Linked DNA regions of Callithrix jacchus. The protein of the gene in region 5 binds, or shares a complex with, the protein of the main gene of each other region. Links are inferred from orthologs where the notes say so. Each region holds a gene or a part of one and is shown on either strand. Other genes may lie near its edges. The genes, in order: TAF5, TAF9, TAF3, TBP and TAF11.

What was found.
Region 1: TAF11 (region 5) and TAF5 share a complex: the UniProt entries of both Homo sapiens proteins name them as parts of the TFIID basal transcription factor complex. The link is inferred for Callithrix jacchus from reciprocal best matches to the Homo sapiens genes TAF11 and TAF5.
Region 2: TAF11 (region 5) and TAF9 share a complex: the UniProt entries of both Homo sapiens proteins name them as parts of the TFIID basal transcription factor complex. The link is inferred for Callithrix jacchus from reciprocal best matches to the Homo sapiens genes TAF11 and TAF9.
Region 3: TAF11 (region 5) and TAF3 share a complex: the UniProt entries of both Homo sapiens proteins name them as parts of the TFIID basal transcription factor complex. The link is inferred for Callithrix jacchus from reciprocal best matches to the Homo sapiens genes TAF11 and TAF3.
Region 4: TAF11 (region 5) and TBP share a complex: the UniProt entries of both Homo sapiens proteins name them as parts of the TFIID basal transcription factor complex. The link is inferred for Callithrix jacchus from reciprocal best matches to the Homo sapiens genes TAF11 and TBP.

The regions. Positions count from the first base shown.
Region 1 is NC_133513.1:96,354,394-96,358,607, reverse strand, and holds the start of TAF5 (transcription initiation factor TFIID subunit 5), read right to left. Parts: upstream 2,810-4,214; 5' UTR 2,796-2,809; coding exon 2,237-2,795; intron 1-2,236. UniProt on the Homo sapiens protein: The TFIID basal transcription factor complex plays a major role in the initiation of RNA polymerase II (Pol II)-dependent transcription.
Region 2 is NC_133503.1:140,123,990-140,128,025, forward strand, and holds the start of TAF9 (transcription initiation factor TFIID subunit 9), read left to right. Parts: upstream 1-1,235; 5' UTR 1,236-1,305; exon of another isoform or gene 1,306-1,472; coding exon of another isoform or gene 1,473-1,722; intron 1,723-3,387; exon of another isoform or gene 3,388-3,462; intron 3,463-3,980; coding exon of another isoform or gene 3,981-4,036. Other genes in the region: cell cycle checkpoint protein RAD17, read right to left, coding at 108-117; AK6 (adenylate kinase isoenzyme 6), read left to right, coding at 1,473-1,722, 3,981-4,036. UniProt on the Homo sapiens protein: The TFIID basal transcription factor complex plays a major role in the initiation of RNA polymerase II (Pol II)-dependent transcription.
Region 3 is NC_133508.1:5,916,855-5,919,452, forward strand, and holds the end of TAF3 (transcription initiation factor TFIID subunit 3), read right to left. Parts: intron 2,287-2,598; coding exon 2,180-2,286; intron 1,411-2,179; coding exon 1,296-1,410; 3' UTR 514-1,295; downstream 1-513. UniProt on the Homo sapiens protein: The TFIID basal transcription factor complex plays a major role in the initiation of RNA polymerase II (Pol II)-dependent transcription.
Region 4 is NC_133505.1:177,177,895-177,181,982, forward strand, and holds the start of TBP (TATA-box-binding protein), read left to right. Parts: upstream 1-1,284; 5' UTR 1,285-1,379; intron 1,380-1,533; exon of another isoform or gene 1,534-1,900; intron 1,901-3,776; exon of another isoform or gene 3,777-3,779; 5' UTR 3,780-3,927; coding exon 3,928-3,981; intron 3,982-4,088. Other genes in the region: PSMB1 (proteasome subunit beta type-1), read right to left, coding at 140-252. UniProt on the Homo sapiens protein: The TFIID basal transcription factor complex plays a major role in the initiation of RNA polymerase II (Pol II)-dependent transcription.
Region 5 is NC_133505.1:43,126,451-43,129,965, forward strand, and holds part of TAF11 (transcription initiation factor TFIID subunit 11), read right to left. Parts: intron 196-3,515; coding exon 47-195; intron 1-46. UniProt on the Homo sapiens protein: The TFIID basal transcription factor complex plays a major role in the initiation of RNA polymerase II (Pol II)-dependent transcription.

The DNA.
Region 1 (4,214 bases), on a different chromosome or scaffold from region 5:
AAGTGATGAAATTACAGGCGTGAACCACTGTGCCCAGCCACACTCACACACATTTCTATTTATGGATTACAATGAAATATGAATACAATGCTATGTATTCAAGCAATGCTGCAAAGATTAGGCCTCATACAGATGAATTTGGCTAAAGGCTCTGCACTGGAGAATTCAATAAACATTTATTGTTAACTCAGGATCAACTGTGAGAACTTATACTGTATATGAGTTTTACTGCATGGACTTTGTGACAACATTTGCTGGGAGAAAGCAGGGGCTAAGGTATTAGGGACAGATACAGAGGCATAAACTTATCAATACCAAATGTTTCACATATACGTATTATAATAGCCTCATAACCACTCATTTAATAGAGAAAATTCAACATGAGAGCCTCCTGACAATATTAATGTAAAAAAAAGAATTTTTTTTTTTTTTTTTTTGAGACCATCTCACTCTATCACCCAGGCTGGAGTGCAGTGGCACGATCTTGGCTCACTGCAACCTCCACCTCCCAGGTTCAAGCAATTCTCCTGCCTCAGCCTCCTGAGCAGCTGGGACCATACCTGGCTAATTTTTGTATTTTTAGTACAAAGGAGGTTGACCAGGAGCGGTGGCTCATGCCTGTAATCTCAACACTTTGGGAGGTCAGGAAGTTACCCGAGGTCAGGAGCTCGAGACCAGCCTGACCAATATGGAGAAACCCTGTATCTACTGAAAAAACAAAAATTAGCAGGGCATGGTAAGGCATGCCTGTAATCCAAACTACTCGGGAGGCCAAGGCAGAAGAATCACTTGCAGTGAGCTGAGATGGCACCACTGCACTCCAGCCTGGGCAAGAAGAGTGAAACTCCACCTAAAAAAAAAAAAAAAAAAAAGGCCTGGCGCGGTGGCTCACACTTGTAATCTTACCACTTTGGGAGGCCGAGGCGGGTGGATCATGAGGTCAAGAGATCGAGACGATCCTGACCAACATAGTGAAACCCCTTCTCTACTAAAAATACAAAAATTGCCAAGGCGGGTGGATCACGAGGTCAAGAGATCGAGACCATCTTGGTCAATATGGTGACACCCCGTCTCTACTAAAAATACAAAAAATTAGCTGGGCATGGTGGCGCGTGCCTGTGATCCCAGCTACTCAGGAGGCTGAGGCAGAATTGCCTAAACCCAGGAGGTGGAGGTTGCAGTGAGCCGAGATCGCGCCATTGCACTCCAGCCTGGGTAACAAGAACGAAACTCCGTCTCAAAAAAAATTAAAAATTACGTGTAATGGGATGCCTGAACACATGATTCTCAAGCTGCCGTATGTCAATACTCCTTAGAAGCACTTATTCAAAAGTGCAGATTCCCATATTCCACCTCTAGAGGATCTGATTCACTAAGTCTGAAGTGATGCCCATGAGCCTGCATCCTCCAAAGACTTAACACTGGTGGTACTACCCATATGTATTTTTAATATTCCAACTTTTAGCTGACAATCGGGGGCACATGATGTGCAGGACTGGTACAAGGGTATATTGCATGGTGGCCAGGCATGTTGGCTCACTCCTGTAATCCCAGCACTCAGGGAGGTCAAGTCCGGTGGGTCACTAGAGGTCGGGTGGTTGAGACCAGCCTGGCCAACATGGTGAAAGCCTGCCTCTACCAAAAATACAAAAATTCGCCAGCTGTGGTAGTAGGCGCCTGTAGTCCCAGCTACTGGGGAGGCTAAGGCAGGAGAATCGCTTGAACCCAGGAGGCGGAGGTTGCAGTAAGCCGAGACTGCACCACTGCACTCCAGCCTGGGCGAGAGCAAAACTCCGTCACAAACACACACAAAAAAAGAAACTATAAAGTATTTACTAACGTATCTTTTAAGAGGAAGTAAAGAAATAAAGAAAAATTAAAGTACGCTAATACGAAACTGTACAAACACTATGTTAGCGTCATGCGGACATGACTAAGGCTCAAAACCCCATATGAGAGGAAAGGAACCAAAAGCCTGAAGGTACCCGCCTCTCCGCGCCCACCTTCACACATCCCTCTGCTCAGCAGCTCTCCTCAGCCTCTCGCTGGAACTGACAGCTCGGAAGGGGGTTTGACTACGCAGCCGGCGCACTAGAGAAAGGGGCGGGCATGTGGCCCTAGAGGCGGGCCCAGGAAATTCAAAACAAGCCCGCAGAGGTGCAGGCCCGCCAGCCCCTGCCTTACCGGCATGCTCCCCTTCGCGGTGGCCGTGCCTGCCCGGGACCCCACGGCTCACCTTTACCCGGAGCCGCAGGACCTGAGGCTGAACCTGAGACGGCCGTGGCCCCCGAAGCGCCAGTACCCGGAGGGTCGGGGGCCGCAGGGCCAGGGGCCGAGGCGGTCACCCGGCTGAGAAGCGCGCTGGCCGCCTCAGCGCCGGCGCTGTCCACCTCTCCCGGGGCTCCGGAGCCCGCCACTGCCTCCTCCAGCAGTCGGGCCTCACGGCGCAGCGCCTCTTCGGCCTCGCGGAGATTGCTCTGCCGTAGGAACTGCAGCACCGCCAGTAGAGTCTGTCGGTCGTGAGGAGCGCCGGCCTCCGGAGCAGCGGCAGGCACCGGGGCCGCCCCCGCCGGGGCAGAGGCAGAGACAGCCACCGTGGGCTTGGGGGTCCCGCCATCACCGCCAGCGGACGACGACGCCGCAACGTTCCCGCCCCCGCCGTTGGGGCCGTTGTTGGTAGTGCCGCCGCTACCCTCGCCTGCGCTGTCCCCCGCCTGCGGAGGTAGCAGCGTTGGCGGTCCCTCAGGCTCTAGCTTAACCGCCACCTCCGTCTGCTCCTCCGCCAGCGCCGCCATCTTGCGGCTGAGCCACCTCGCGCCGTCAAGCGTGATTGCATTTTCGCCGCATGGAGGTCGGGGAGGAGCATTTCACGACAGCTCTAGTAGACCATTTACGGCAGTAGGAGGAGCGAAAAAAAAAGGCGAAACGGAATAGGAATGAGTAACTTTAGAAAACGAGCGATAGAAAGGCAGGAAGTGGGAGTTGATGACCGCCTATTACATTTGCCTGATAATTGCAATTTATTGCAGGCTAGCTTACGCCGTGGCTTACGTCTGTAATCCCAGACGTAACGTTTTACGTTATGTGATCTCCTTCAATTCAATCATTTTATGAGGTAATATTATTTTCACTGCACAGATGGCTTAGCCGAAACCAAGAGAGGTTAAATAATTTACCAGAGTCACACAAGAAGAAAGTCCAAATGTTAGCATTCGAATCCAGGTCTTTAACTTAAAAGCATATACCATTTGCCAGAAGGAGGCTTCTGAGATACTGGTAATGTTTTCTATGACCTGGATAGTGGTTAATTTTTTTTTTTTTTGGCCGTTTTTACTTTTGTAAAAATTAATCGAGCTGCATGCTTTATGAACTTTACACCGTATACATTACTTTTTTTTTTTTTTTTTTTTTTTTGAGATAGAGTCTCGCTCTGTCGCCCAGGCTGAAGTGCAGTGGCCTAATCTTGGCTCACTGCAACCTCCGCCTCCCGGGTTCAGGCAATTTTCCTGCCTCAGCCTCCCAAGTAGCAGGGATTACAGGTGCGGCCCACCATGTCCCACAAATTTATGTATTTTTAGTAAATGCAGCGTTTCGCCATGTTGACCAGGCTGGTCTCGAACTCCTGACCTCAGGTGATCCGCCCGCCTCAACCTCCCAAAGTGCTTAGATTGCAGGCGAAAGCCATATACATTACATTTCAATAAAAAGATTTTAAATAACAGAATTTTGTGGCTGTGAAATATGTACGTTATGTATTCATGCTATTACCTGTTATTATAAATAAGCTATTTTAATTGTATATTTAAAAATCGGCCAGGCGCGGTGGTTTACGTCTGTAATCCCAGCACTTTGGGAGGCCAAGGCGTGCGGATCACAAGGTCAGGATATCGAGGCCATCCTGGCCAACATGGTGAAACCCGGGAGGCGGAGATTGCAGTGAGCTGAGATCACGCCACTGCACTACAGCCTGGGCGACAGTGCGAGACTCTGTCTCCAAAAAAAAAAAAACAAATCATGGCCCGTTGCGGTGGCTCACGCCTGTAATCCCAAAACTTTGAGAGACAGAGGCAGGTGGATCACCGGAGGTCAGGCGTTCCAGACCATCCTCTCTAACATGATGAAACACCATCTCTACTAAAAATATAAAAATGTAGCCGGACGTAGGTGGCAGGCACCTGTAATCCCAGCTACTCGGGAGGCTGAGATAGAAGAAT
Region 2 (4,036 bases), on a different chromosome or scaffold from region 5:
CTGGATAAATAAACTACTTGTGGTGTTACAAACGGAGTTTTTCACATGAACTCAATGACGTATTTGAGAAAAACAGAAAAAAAAAATTCACAAACTGTTCTACTTACCTTTTGTCATTAAAATCAGGCAATTCTATTTGAGTAGTTTATATACTGAAAATTAAAGTTTTCCTTATTTCAAATTACAGTTGCAGTTCTTCATTTCCAACATTTCCCAAAAAATAAAATACAATGAATTCACTTGCTGTGGACAAAGAATTTAAATCTTACTGTAAAACTGTTTTCATTTGATCATGTTATTAGAAAATTTCTTAGTAACACTGTTTTTCAATTGTGTTTTCAAATTCTTAAACCTTTATGCAAACTAGTGAATTCAACAATTTTAAGTTAGCCAGAAGAGAATTTTAATGCCTACAAATTTATACACTGGAAAGTATACTGAACTATTTTACAGTTTGGAGCACACATCGCCTATAAACACCCCTACGTACTAGAAAACAAATTGCTGGCCTTTCGTCCCAAATCGTTCACGGTTAGACTTTGACGTTTCAAATGGTACACAGTTGGTAAAAAAACAAACAAAACATTTGAGTAAATATAGTTTGTAGCTCGAAATAAAAGATGCAGACTGTTGTCACCGTCAGGACTCTATTCACTCTTTGAAAACAAGATTGACAATTACCTCCTTTTAAAAGCAGGTAACTGTCCCTGAAGATGCCAGATTCCTGAAATGAGATGTCAGAGGTAGACCTTCAAGACTATTCCTAGCCGACCCACCACCACCCCACACAGTGAACAGGGAATACTAAGGTCAAATATTCGTCCAACGTAATCCTGTAATCAGTAGGGTGCCGGGTTGAGCTCGCAAATCCCCGCTGCAGGACTGGGCTCTGCACCCTCAATCTTCTCATCCCCAGATGGGACGGGCGGGTCAGGAGGAGGAGCGACGAGAGCCCAAGAAGGCTTGAAGGCAAAGATAGACTCGCGTCTCTAAGACATATACATATTATAGCGGCAGCCGCGGCGGCCTTACGTTCCCGGAGCTGCATTCCCTTTTCGGCGAAGAGCGGAGGCGAACAGGATCTACCCCGAGTGAAAGGGTAGCCACCTGGCCGTATCCGGGCCTCTCTGAGGTACGGCCTCCCGGGGACCTTTCAAAATGGTCGGCGCATCCGCGACGCAACCGAAGGGCGGGGCCCGCCGGAGTGTGTGACTTAGGCATCCAGCGCACTGCCTGACCCGAAGCACCGACCCGAGTTATGCCCACCCTTCAACTTTGCGATGGAAACGTGTTAGGGAAAGCTAGGTAACTAGTGGGCCGCAGCTGGGCCGCCGGGGCAGGCCGGGGACGCCGCGGTGGGCCTGGAGGTCCTTGGGGCCCGTGGGCTCTCACTGCCGCCCGCCCCTTCCGGCTCCTCCCCGTAGTGCAAAGGGCGCTTGAGCGAGGTGATCGGAGCAGTTGCAGCGAGGACCATGTTGCTTCCGAACATCCTGCTCACCGGTCAGGGCGCGCGGCCGGGAGGGGCTGGGAGGGGGCAGGCGAGGTTTGCGGAGTGCTCTGGGCCTCGGGCCCCGCTCAGTGTTCTGTTTGGAGGCCTCCCGAGGGCCGCGAGGCGGCTGCAGCGCCCCGGGAGCCGACCCTCACGGGCTTGGCAGGAGGTGGGGGAGGGGATGCGGAACGTTAATTCCGGTGGCCCGAGACTTCCGGGGGAGGAGGAGAGAGGTCGGCAGATCAGCTCTCCTGCTTGGCAGTCTGCTTAGTCTTTCTGAATCTGGTATTTTGTGTGTAAAATGGGTTGTTGATTCTTTGGCAGGGTTGGCTTTGGGATTTTTAGCGAAATAGTGTAAGGTCACATCTGTTCTCCAGTAGAGCCATTAATGGTGGAGGCCTCACTCCTTAGGCCTCCCTGGGCCATATTTTATTTTTTCCTTTGCTCCTCAGATCAGATTTCGGGAAATGACTTTAGATGTTTGTGGTGTGACTAAATTACTGTATGCCTTTGTTGAGTTACATCAGAGGTTCTCCCCAGCCCCTTAAAGGAGAGGAATCTAGTGAGCATTTCGGGTCGTTTCTCGCGTAGGAGTGGGTCTTTGAAGCCATACTCAGGGTGCGTGTTACCGGTGAAGGAACTAAAATGCTGCTGCGTAACGACTTCATCGAATATTTTAGTCCTTAAAGTGTTTATTAAATTGTAGACCATTCGTGGAAAAATCTAATGCATGTAGATTTTATTGGAACGTACCGAAAAATTAAGAGTCGGTGGAAATAAAGCAGTAAAGTTACAGCGTTCATCTAAACATAAGATGATTTGCAGCGCACAAGACATGTCTGTTTCTGAGAGGTGCCGATTAACCAGGCCACAAATAATGTTTAGCATTTAAGATTTCTTAAGTGGAAGATATCACATCTTTTTGCATGGATCAAACATAGTGCCTTGGTTATTAATATTGTGTCATTGTCAAAACTTTAAAGTGAGCATTTTATTGAAAACATAATTGAGTCCAGGGTTCAGACTTGGTGAATTATAGTGGACTTGAGGTAACTGTTAATCTCTTCCGTGTGGGAACTGGATTATCCCTGTTATCTTTATGCTCAAGTTTAATTTCAGGGATGTTAAACCTGAATAGCTGAAAATTACAAATTTGATCTTGAAGTGTAATTATAATAGGTATCAAAAGGGGAAGGTAAGAAGCAATGTATAGTATGTAGTATTGTCATTTATGTAAAAGGGAATATATGTTGTATTTATGTATGTATATACAAAGTATGTATATACATGTACATTCATATGCAACATAAATAGGGTTTCTCTGGGAAGATATACATGTATGGGAAACTGGTTCACAGTGGTTGTCTCTAGGGAAGGGTGCAAGGGGTAAGACTGCTTACATTTTAACATGAACAGTTTTTGTTTTTGTTTTGGGACAGTCTCATTATGTTGCCGGGGCTGGTCTCGAACTCCTGAGCTTAAGCAATCCCCCTGCCTTGGCCTCCCAAATTGCTGGGATTACAGGCATGAGCCACCACACCTGGCTATGAACAGTTTCTTAATCTATTTAAATTAAAGCAAATATGCCGGATGGGTGGCTCATGCCTGTAATCCCAGTACTTTGGGAGAGGGAGGTGGGCAGATTGCTTGAGCTCAGCCTAGGCAACATAGCGAAACCCCATCTACAAAAATTAACCAGGGCATGGTGGTACACACTATGGCCTCGTCAACTGGACATGCTGAGATGGGAGGATTGCTTGAGCCCGGGAGGTTAAGGCTGCAGTGAGCCAAGTGCCACTGCACTCCACCTGAGCAACAAAGAGATATCTTGTCTTTAAAAAAAAAAAGTAAATAAATGACTGTAATTGATTTGAGGTGGTTAATTTTATTCTGAACAGTTCCATGGTAGTAGCAGGCAGTTTGAATCTGCGACAGAATCTGCTGAGCCTCACCCTTGAAGGATCAATAACTGGGTAATATTTTGACATTCAGTTAGCTTTGGAAAATTTTTATTAGATCATAGACATATTGAGGTGGCTCATGCCTGTAATTCCAGCACTTTGGGAGGCTGAGGTGGGCGGATCACCTGAGGTCAGGAGTTCGAGACCAGCCTGGCCAATATGGGGAAACCTCGTCTCTAAAAATTCAAAGATTATTAGCTGGGTGTGGTGGCAGATGCCTGTAATTCCAGCCACTCAGGAGACTGAGGCAGGAGAATCACTTGAATCTGGGAGGTGGAGGTTGCAGTGAGTTGAGATTTTGCCACTGCATTCCAGCCTGGGTGACAAGAAGGAAACTCCATCTCAAAAAAAAAAACTTACATATGATTGCTAATTAGAAGATTTTTCATTTCATTCATTGAGAACCTTAAGGGCAGAGACCAGGGGAGACTCTGTCTCAAAAAAAAAAAAAAAAAAAAAGGGCAGAAGGTGGGCTACAGTGTGATGAGTAGTATTTCACAAACAATATTTTTCTGTGGCTTATCTTACAGGTACACCAGGGGTTGGAAAAACCACACTAGGCAAAGAACTTGCATCAAAATCAGGA
Region 3 (2,598 bases), on a different chromosome or scaffold from region 5:
CCTCTCAGACATCTATATAACATATAATAAATAGTGGGAGTATAAGAATACAATAAAGTTTTGTGATACCCTGAAATTTGATGTTTTCTTAAAAAAATTCATAATATACTTCATTTCAGCCTTAAAGCACAATATTAATGAACAGATTTGTAGAAATAAAAACAATATAAAGAAAATGCTACAGTATAAGTGGGTTTTTTTTTTTTTAACTTTCATGGAAACTACATGTCCTTTTAGTAAAAGTCTGTCAAAGAAATTTACAAAAACAAAATAGACAACAAACAAAACAACTTCAAATCATAAACTAGAAATTCAAATTGCCTTGTTTTCCTTCCAGCTGCTTGGGCCCTTTCCCCTACGATCTTTTCGGCCACTGCACAGGTTCAGCTCAAGGGAAATGTCTTTGAACGATGGCTTTTTCTCCAGCCTTCTTTATTTCTGTCCAGCGTCAATACAGACACGGCTGAAATCATAGTGGATTTCAGAGAAAGCCAGAATTAAACACGATAAAAATTTAAAAAATAACTACTTCATAAATATTTATTATTTACAGTAGGGGCAATCTTTTAGTCTGAAGAGTTTTTATACAAGTTGATGAAATGTACAAGCAGCGAGAAGACACTCCAGCAGTTTAAAGAAGGGCAAAATTAGAATGCAACGAAGATATAAAATACATTAAACAAAAATAATTTGCACAAAAGCAAACAGGACATGATAGAAACCTTTTTCTTAAAAAATATAAGGTATTTCACAAAAGCCTGAACATTTTACATGTTAGTACTAAAAACGGGGGAAGGAGGGAAGCTTCATATATTCTTATCACAAAAATATTTACCAGTACTCCAGCTGGAGTTTTCCTTTATGTTGTTATGATTATCTTACTACAGAGGGAGGGGGCTGAAGACTGTATACAGACTCTACCATCCTTAAGTTACAGTCAAAGCAGTTTACATCATCTTCTCATCTAATACCTCCATGAAAAGGCCCTGGAGAGAAGGAAGGAAGTCAAAGGGAAGATGTACGCTCTTTTTATTAATAATACTTGTCACTGGCATTAGAGAAGAGGAGGAGGGGCAGCCCCCAGGCCACGCCTCTGCTTGAGTTTCCTTCCGGGGCCCGGCCACGGAGCCATAGGCCAACACGGTTCGGGAGTGAACAATCCAGGTTCGAGGTGTGTTCCTGCCTCAGTCCTCCCGGGTTCTTCATCCACGGGCATCTGGGGGTGGATGTGGAGGCAGAATTGCACCAGCTCCCTTCCTGAGCTGACCCCACTTGACCCTGACCCTGGCGAGCCGTCAGTGCGCTCGATGCTTCCTCTTCTTGTGCTTTTTGTCCTTCTTCTTGTTTGCACACTTGGGGCAGAACCACTGCATCTCTTCTGGGGGTGCAGCCATGATTCCAACACAGGGCCTACACATGAAAACAAGCTCAGATCAGCAACTTCTATATATACGTCTATTCTTCTCCTTCAATGTTTCACAGTAATTTTTAAAAGTCTATGACATGTTTCCCAAAATCAAAGTCAAGCAGCACTAACTCGCAGCACTATTGTTGGGCAGGCAGACTGTGATATTACAGAAGCTTCCTTCCCAGCCCTGCTGAGATTCATCAGCTCATTCATCCTGCCAGCCAGGAATCGGAGTCTTCTGAGCCAAGGCTTGTCTTTATCTTAGAGATATCATATATCGTAACTTAATAGATCACTATTCTTTTTGTATCTGACATTTTAAAGCTAACACGAGATTATCTGCATAAATTTTGGTTGAGTGTTTCAGTTTTTAGGAACTGCTGAAGAGGTTTACGACACAGATAAGCAGTCTTTAGTCCTGCAGTTTGTACCGTCCTTACAAAGGGGCTGCCTCTTTGTGGTTCTGGCCAGTGCTACAGTTCCTACGGAACACTACCTGAAAGCAAGGCCAGGGACACCCATGCATCTCCTTTTATTACTGTTTTAATAAGAAGGATCGATAAGCTAAGCAGAGTATTCAGATTTGGGGTGAATAACAATAGTCCGAAGACTCTTGGGTTTTGCAATGAACTGCACTTCACAGGCTCTGTGATTTGACTCCAGGGCAGCCCTGCATCAGTCCAAAGGCTGGAATCTACTCTGTGGATGCTTCATCTCAGGAGCAGAGGATGCTGCCTGAGAGTGTGGCCGGCAGGGCGCCTGGGCACTTACCAGTGGTACCAGTCATCACAGTCGTCACAACCAATCATTGGACTCCCATCATCAGGCTTGTTACACCCAGGGCAGATCCAGATCTGATTGCCCCACTCATCTCGGATCTGATGTTTGCGAAGTGGGAGCGGGAAGAACGGAGGCGATGTGAAAAAAAACAGGGAGAGACCAGATCAGAATAATTACTTTATACTGTTAACTGAATAAACAGGTACATTAAACTAAAAAATACAGATTAGCACTTCATTGGCACCATGATCAGTGTCATCACTGGTTTAGAATCACGAAACAGAAAAACGCTAACAAGTGTTCAATGATAAGACATTTCTAACGAATATTCTAAGCTTTCTGTTGTAGGTCATAAAAAACAAACATTTTAGAATCATCTCTGTGAACAATATGACCTGTAGCCCCTTTCA
Region 4 (4,088 bases), about 130 Mb from region 5:
CTTGTGCGGACCCACTCAGCTCAGGGTTCTGAGGCCTGCAGGGGATCTGGGCAGCGCCTTCGCGGCGGTGACCCCCAAATAGGCTTCAGCAGATGGGGGGAGGGCGAAAGTGAAAGCTGCGGCTCTCAAGGGTTTTTACCCTCCGTTGAAAGCGTAGGGCGAAAATCGTAGCTGCAGAGGTCCCGCAGCTCTGTGCGGCTCCATTCCCAGCTCTCTGCCAGGACCCGAATACATGGCTGTAGAGGACAACATCTCACTGAAGCGCCCGCAACTCCGGCCGCTACTCCTGCTGCCTCACGGCGAGATGGCCGCCCTGACCGGACGTTACGCCACTTCCGGCTTTCCTGTAACTCGCTCCCGGCCTCTCTATCTCGCACTAGTCGTTGCTCCTGGAGGGCTGCTCTGCCGCTAGTCCCTTTCATAGTTGGGTCCTGCCCATTACCAGAAAGATATTAAGGTTTTTGTTTTTTGTTTTTCCCCCGAAGAAAAGATTGGAATTCACCCATATGGACAAAATTTTAAAAGTCTGACCGTGCAAAAATTTGCCAAAACTGTGGAGCAACGGCAACTGGAATAATAGTAACAGCCTAAATTGTCCTGGCTAATACAAAATGTATGTAACATTTCCTATCCTTAAAGAGCTCACAACCTCACTGATAATAGAAAGTCCAAAGGAAACAAGCGGTATAATATATGATTCCGCCAAAACGAACTATAGAAGGTAAAATAAAGGCGTGCTGACGTCCCACTAGGAAACAACTGCGGATCGAGCCTTTGACCACAGTGCCTGAAGCGGCTTGTGTTTTGCTTAGTGTTCCTAGTCATTCTACACGCTTGAAGATCAGCTAGCGTTGTTGCTGACAGGTAAGGAGCACGCGCTTACTGAGTGCCAGGCACTGCTCAGGCATTGACTGTCAGTCTCCAGAGAGCCCAAAGTTAAGCACTAGTATCATCATTATTAAATTTTACAGAAGAAACTGCGGGGAAGAAGTCAGGGAACTTGCCAACGGTAACGCCTCTAGTTGCTTGAAACACACACACCATTTAAAAATTGATCTTTCCTATGCCCAGCAAGGGCCAATTAGAGACAGCGGTGGTGCGCCCGCCCAGTCCCGGAACTCCTCAAGAGCTTCGCCCCTCCTTCCCTTAAACTACACGCCTACGGAAACACAGGAAGTGAGCAAGTGCCCACACTTCGCATGGCCACGACCCCAGTGAGAACAATTCGCTGAAGCCGAGGGCAGAACTGGCGGAAGTGACATTATCAACGCGCGCCTGGAGTTCAGTGGGGTCGGGCAGGGTTCCTGTGGCGGGCGCCTGGGCCGCCGGCTGTTTAACTTCGTTTCCGCGGGCTCATAGTAATTTCTGCAGTGACCCAGGTAACAGCTTGTCCTCTTTTCTGAGGGTTCGGGCGGAGGCGACCACTGCATTGAGGCCTGGGGGCGATGGTGGGGAAGAGACAAGGAATTGGCGCGCGCAGGCCCTGCAGGGGACGTTCCTCCCGCTCGTGCTGCCGCCGTTCCGGCCTGTAACGGCCACTCGGCCGCCGCTTTCGCCTGGTGCCCTATTCCGCTGTGGTTCGCAAGCGGCTTCCCGTCATACGAGCGTGGGGCGCAGGGTACTGGCGGGCTCGGCGGCGGCGGGCGGGACAGGGCAATCCCTTGCATCGAAGACCCGAAGTTTATTCTGCCCTGGCCTGCCACCCGCTTCTTCTCCATGTTTGAAGGCAGATTCACTGTGGTCTGTGCCCGCCTATTTTGCTACCAACATTGAGACTTAAATACTTTGTCAGAAGCCTGAGACAGCGGACACAGTAGCGCTTAAGATACAGTACACATCACTTTGTTTACAGGGCCTCCCATCTCTCGGTTCAGGCCATCATGGTTTTCCAAATCTCTAGGTAGGCTTTTCTGTGAAAAGACTATGCTTCATTTAGATATACAGACACTAGAAGGCTATGCAGAGTTAGATTGCCTCCAAAAAATATCGAATTTGATGTTTCAATTTCGAAGAGATGAAGAGACCCAGCAAACAACCCTTTTCTAGGGAGAAAGTGCAGTAACCACTGTGCGGTTTCTTCTGTAGACTTACGTGCAAAAAGTGATAAGAGCCTACCAATATTTGCCGTCTCATCTCCTGTAGTGACCTATACAGTCATACTAAGCTTGTCACCTTCATACGGCATGCTTTTTCAATGTTACCTCGTTTATCTGAAGCCCTGACCTGTAAATTCCTATTCACCTTGTGAGACCCAAGTTAGATGGTCCTTGTTTTGTGAAAACACTGCCCCTCTTCATAGTAGTGTGCTGTTAGTCTATATGTCTTCTCTTCCAGGGGCATATATGCACTTATTCATGATCACATACTGTATTCCAGGCATAGTGCTAGATGCAGGGATGACAAAGACTGGTTTCTACATTCAAGAAACTTAGCTGGCCGGGCGCGGTGGCTCACGCCTGTAATCCCAGCACTTTGGGAGGCCGAGGCGGGTGAATCACGAGGTCAAGAGATCGAGACCATCCTGGTCAACATGGTGAAACCCCGTCTCTACTAAAAATACAAAAAGTTAGTTGGGCGTGGTGGCGTGTGTCTGTAATCCCAGCTACTCAGGAGGCTGAGGCAGAAGAATTGCCTGAACCCAGGAGGCGGAGGTTGCGGTGAGCCGAGATCGTGCCATTGCACTCCAGCCTGGGTAACAAGAGCGAAACTCCGTCTCAAAAAAAAAAAAAAAAAAAAAAAAAGAAACTTAGCTTAGGGCACACCTGCTATTATACTATGTTTTATAGTAATGATTTGCATACCCTTTATATTGAACATTTTGATGCCAAGGACTATAACCTCCTAATCTTTACATCCTCATCTGCATCACTTCTGTTATTGTTATTATACGGTAACTGTCAAAAAGTATAATTTTAAAAACATCTCTGATATTTTTATTTTCAGAAGCAGAGTTCGCTTGCTTTCTTTTTTGGCCATTTTTTCAGTGATGAGTAGGTAGGATACAGAGTCTGGGGGCCTTAGCCCTTTCAAAGCGATCCTCAGAATCTTTCATTCCTTCACAAATATCTGAGTGTCTATTGTGTACCAGCACATGCTTGAAGTGCATATGCCTGAAGGGTCTTTGGACATATAATTTGTAACTTTGAGACCTGAAGTTCTGGGTGAGAATATGTTGTTATTATAAACTCATTTCAGATATGGACATGAGTAAAGAGATGATGATTTAAGAAAAGCCAGATAACAGGCACGGTTTGCATTAATGTGTTCTAAAGAGGTAAGGTTATTATTTACAAAAATGCAGGGTTTTATCTTTGTGCAGCTTTTTTTTTTAGTTTTATTATAGTAGGAGCTCAATAACTGATCACTGAAGTATATTTACTTAATTTTTTGCCCAAGACATTATAGAGGATATAAAATTGGAATAAAGATCTGAACTTTGCTTAACTGTGCTGTATATACAGTGCTTAACGAATACTCTGCTGTGATATTACAGTTTGCTTAGGAATTAGTTTCCTCTCAGTATTTTTCCTCAAAAGTTTTTGATGCATCATCATAGTATTTAAATGCGTAACAAAATGACTTTTGTTGGCGATTTTACATGTAATCACAGGAAACATGGAAGGAATAAGACTTCAGGATTATAAAGCAAAAGGCAATGTATTCCAAAATAGCTTCATTGGTTTTCTTGTTTGTGTTTTGTATAGCCATGGAACTGGCTTATAGGACTGTACAGGTTACCTGAATCCTTACATTAAACTTCAGGCTTTTTTCCAAAGCAGCATCACTGTCTCTTGGTGTGTGAAGATAACCCAAGGAATTGAGGAAGTTGCTGAGAAGAGTGTGCTGGAGATGCGCTAGGAAAAAATTGAATGGTGAGACAAGTTCCAGCCCAAGGGTTTCTGGTTTGCCAAGAAGGAAGTGAACATCATGGATCAGAACAACAGCCTGCCACCTTACGCTCAGGGCTTGGCCTCCCCTCAGGTAATACAGCAGGAGGAAGAGAATGAGAACAGGGAGGGCAGAAATATGTACTTCAAGAGATGGTATCAAAGGGAAGGAAGGGTATTTAATGATCTGTTTTTGAAAAT
Region 5 (3,515 bases):
GTCAAGAGAGACCCTTAAGATGGGGAATGATAAGAAGGTGACTTACTGCATCTTCTGAATCTCATCTTCATCTACCTTCTGCTTCTTCTCTTTCTTTTCTTTGGTATCTATTTTCAGTTTTTTGGCTGCAGGAGTAAGTAATGATGAGTCTTCCCTTTCAACTGCTGTTAAATCTGAGACATCCTGACTCTTGAGCTGGGAAGATGAAAGAAACTCTATTATATATTTGCCCTACTTTCCAGGCTAGGGCAAAGTAAGAAGACATCATCCTTATTACAAAATAACAAATCCATTTATTGAGTAGTTTTTCAGTTCTAGGATCTGACTGTACCATCAAGTGTACAATACAGTATCTCTCCTAAGGGAAGATTATAGCTTAGCCGTGGAAAGAAAACCCGCTAAATAATCTAGTTTTCCAGTCCAGCTATGAGCACAGCTCCAGTATCTGCTTACAAGGGTAATGAAATGCCAAGGATCATGAGAACCACTCTCCCTATGGGCCCACTCTTCTGACCTTATTCTTTAGAGGGGTTGTCAGCAAAGTCCCCTCCATCCAGCCAGCTCTTCTGCCTCCAGATCTACAGATCTCTTTACTGCTGCTGATTCCATATAGAATATTAAAAAGGAGGCCTCTTCTCATCAAAACAGTGTTTATTTGGAACTTTCAAGTGAGCTTCTCACATGCAGTGCTCTTCGTTCTTATCCTTCAGTCTTACTGTTTCATGCAAATATTTATTTCACATTACTAGTCTTTTTGAAGATAGGTTTGTCTCTTATTATTTATATCTCTCCCCTATCGGCATTTAACATAATTTTACTAATGCTGAAAGTTTAATAAATGCCTGTTTAAATCCCAAGTAGGCAACCCGAAGTAGGCAAAGACATTCTCAAAAGAAGACATACATGTGGCCAACAATCATATGAAAAAAGCTCAGCATCACTGATCATTAGAGAAATGCAAATCAGGCCGGGTGCAGTGGCTCACGCCTGTAATCCCAACACTTTGGGAGGCTGAGGCGGGTGGATCACGAGGTCAAGAGATCGAGACCATCCTGGTCAACACGGTGAAACCCCGTCTCTACTAAAAATACAAAAAGTTAGCTGGGCATGGTGGTGCGTGCCTGTAATCCCAGCTACTCAGGAGGCTGAGGCAGGAGAATTGCCTGAACCCAGGAGGCGGAGGTTGCTGTGAGCTGAGATCACGCCATTGCACTCCAGCCTGGGTAACAAGAGCGAAACTCCGTCTCAAAAAAAAAAAAAAAAGAGAAATGCAAATCAAAATCATACTGAGGCCTGACATAGTGGCTCATGCCTGTAACCCCAGCACTTTGGGAGGCCGAAGCAGGTGGATCACTTGAGGTCAGGAGTTTGAGAACAGCCTGGCCAATATGGAAAAACCCTGTCTCTACTAAAAATACAAAATTAGCTGGGTGTGGTGGTATGTAATCCCAGCTACTGGGGAGGCAGAGGCAGGAGATTCGCTTGAATCCAGGAGGTGGAGGTTACAGTGAGCCAAGATTGTGCCACTGCACTCCAGCCTGGGCAAAAAGAGCAAAAATTCCATCTCAAAACAAACAAACAAAAAAACTATAAAGAGATACCATCTCGGCTGGGCACAGTGGCTCACGCCTGTAATCCCAGCACTTTGGAAGGCCGAGGCAGGTGGATCACCTGAGGTCAGGAGTTCGAGACCAGACTGACCAACATGGTGAAACCCCGTCTTTAAAAAAAAAAAAAAAGGCCAGGCACAGTGGCTCATGCCTGTAATCTCAGCACTTTGGGAGGCCCAGGCGGGTGGATCACGAGGTCAAGAGATCGAGACCATCCTGGTCAACATGGTGAAACCCCGTCTCTAATAAAAATACAAAAAATTAGCTGGGCATGGTGGCGCGTGCCTGTAATCCCATCTACTCAGGAAGCTGAGGCAGAAGAACTGCCTGAACCCAGGAAGCGGAGGTTGCGGTGAGCCAAGATCGCGCCATTGCACACCAGCCTGTGCAACAAGAGCGAAACTCCGTCTCAACTCCGTCTCAAAAAAAAGAAAGAGGTACCATCTCACACCAGTCCGAATGGCTATTATTCAAAAGTCAAAAAGTAACAGATACTGGCGAGGCTGTGGAGGCAAAGGAAAGCTTTTAAACTGTTGGTTGGCGTATAAATTAGTTCACCATTGAGGAAGGCAGTATGACAATTCCTCAAAGAAATAAAGAAGGAATTACCATTCGACCCAGCAATCCCATTACTGGGTATATACCCAAAGAAATATAAATTGTTCTATTATAAAGACACATGCACACTTTTATGTTCATTGCAGTGCTATTCACAATAGCAAAGACATGGAATCAGCTTAAATGCCCATCAATAATAGACTGGATAAAGAAAATGTATTTTCCAGTATATACCATGGAATACTATACAGCAACAAAAAAGTAGATCATGGCCTTTGCAGGGACATGGATGGAGCTGGAGGCCATTATCTTTAGCAAACTAATGCAGGAACAGAAAACCAAATACTGCATGTTCTCACTAATAAGAGGGAGCTAAATGACGAGAAAACATGGACACATAGAGGGGAAGACACACTGTGGTCTATGGGAGAGTAAAGGGTGGCAGAAGGGAAAGGATCAGGAAAAATAACTAATGGATATTAGGCTTAATGCCTGGGTGATGAAATAATCTGTACAACAAACCCCTATGACACACATTTACCTATGTAGTAAAACACATCCTGCACATGTATCCCTGAACTTAAAAGTTTAAAAACTGCCTGTTTAGGCCGGGCGCAGTGGCTCAGGCCTGTAATCCCAGCACTTTGGGAGGCTGAGGCGGGTGGATCACGAGGTCAAGAGATCGAGACCACCCTGGTCAACATGGTGAAACCCCGTCTCTTTACTAAAAATACAAAAAGTTAGCTGGGCATGGTGGTGCGTGCCTGTGATCCCAGCTACTCGGGAGGCTGAGGCAGGAGAATTAATTGCCTGAACCCAGGAGGCGGAAGTCGCGGTGAGCCGAGATCGCGTCATTGCACTCCAGCCTGGGTAACAAGAGCGAAACTCTGTCTCAAAAAAATAAAAAATAAAAAACTGCCTGTTTAATAACCATAAAAATAAATAGAAACTTCACCCCCTCTGACTGAATGTAGAATCTTAAGTATACTACAAAACTCATTAATGAGATTTAGCTTTTCCTTAAGAAGAATTCAAATTTAAACTCAGACAGGAATATGGAAATGGGGGATGCAGGTGGTCTGTCTTTGACAATCTTTTCAATTTTTTTTTAGTTACTGATTTATACAAGTTTTCTAACTTCTTTGTGCTTCAAGTTCAGTGATTTGTATTTTCTTTAAAAAAAAGTCACCTATTGGCTGGACGCGGTGGCTCACGCCTGTAATCTTAGCAATTTGCGAGGCTGAGGCAGGCAAATCACAAGATCAGGAGATCGAGACCATCCTGACCAACTTGGTGAAACCCCGTCTCTACTAAAAAAAATTACAAAAATTAGCTGGGTGTGGTGGC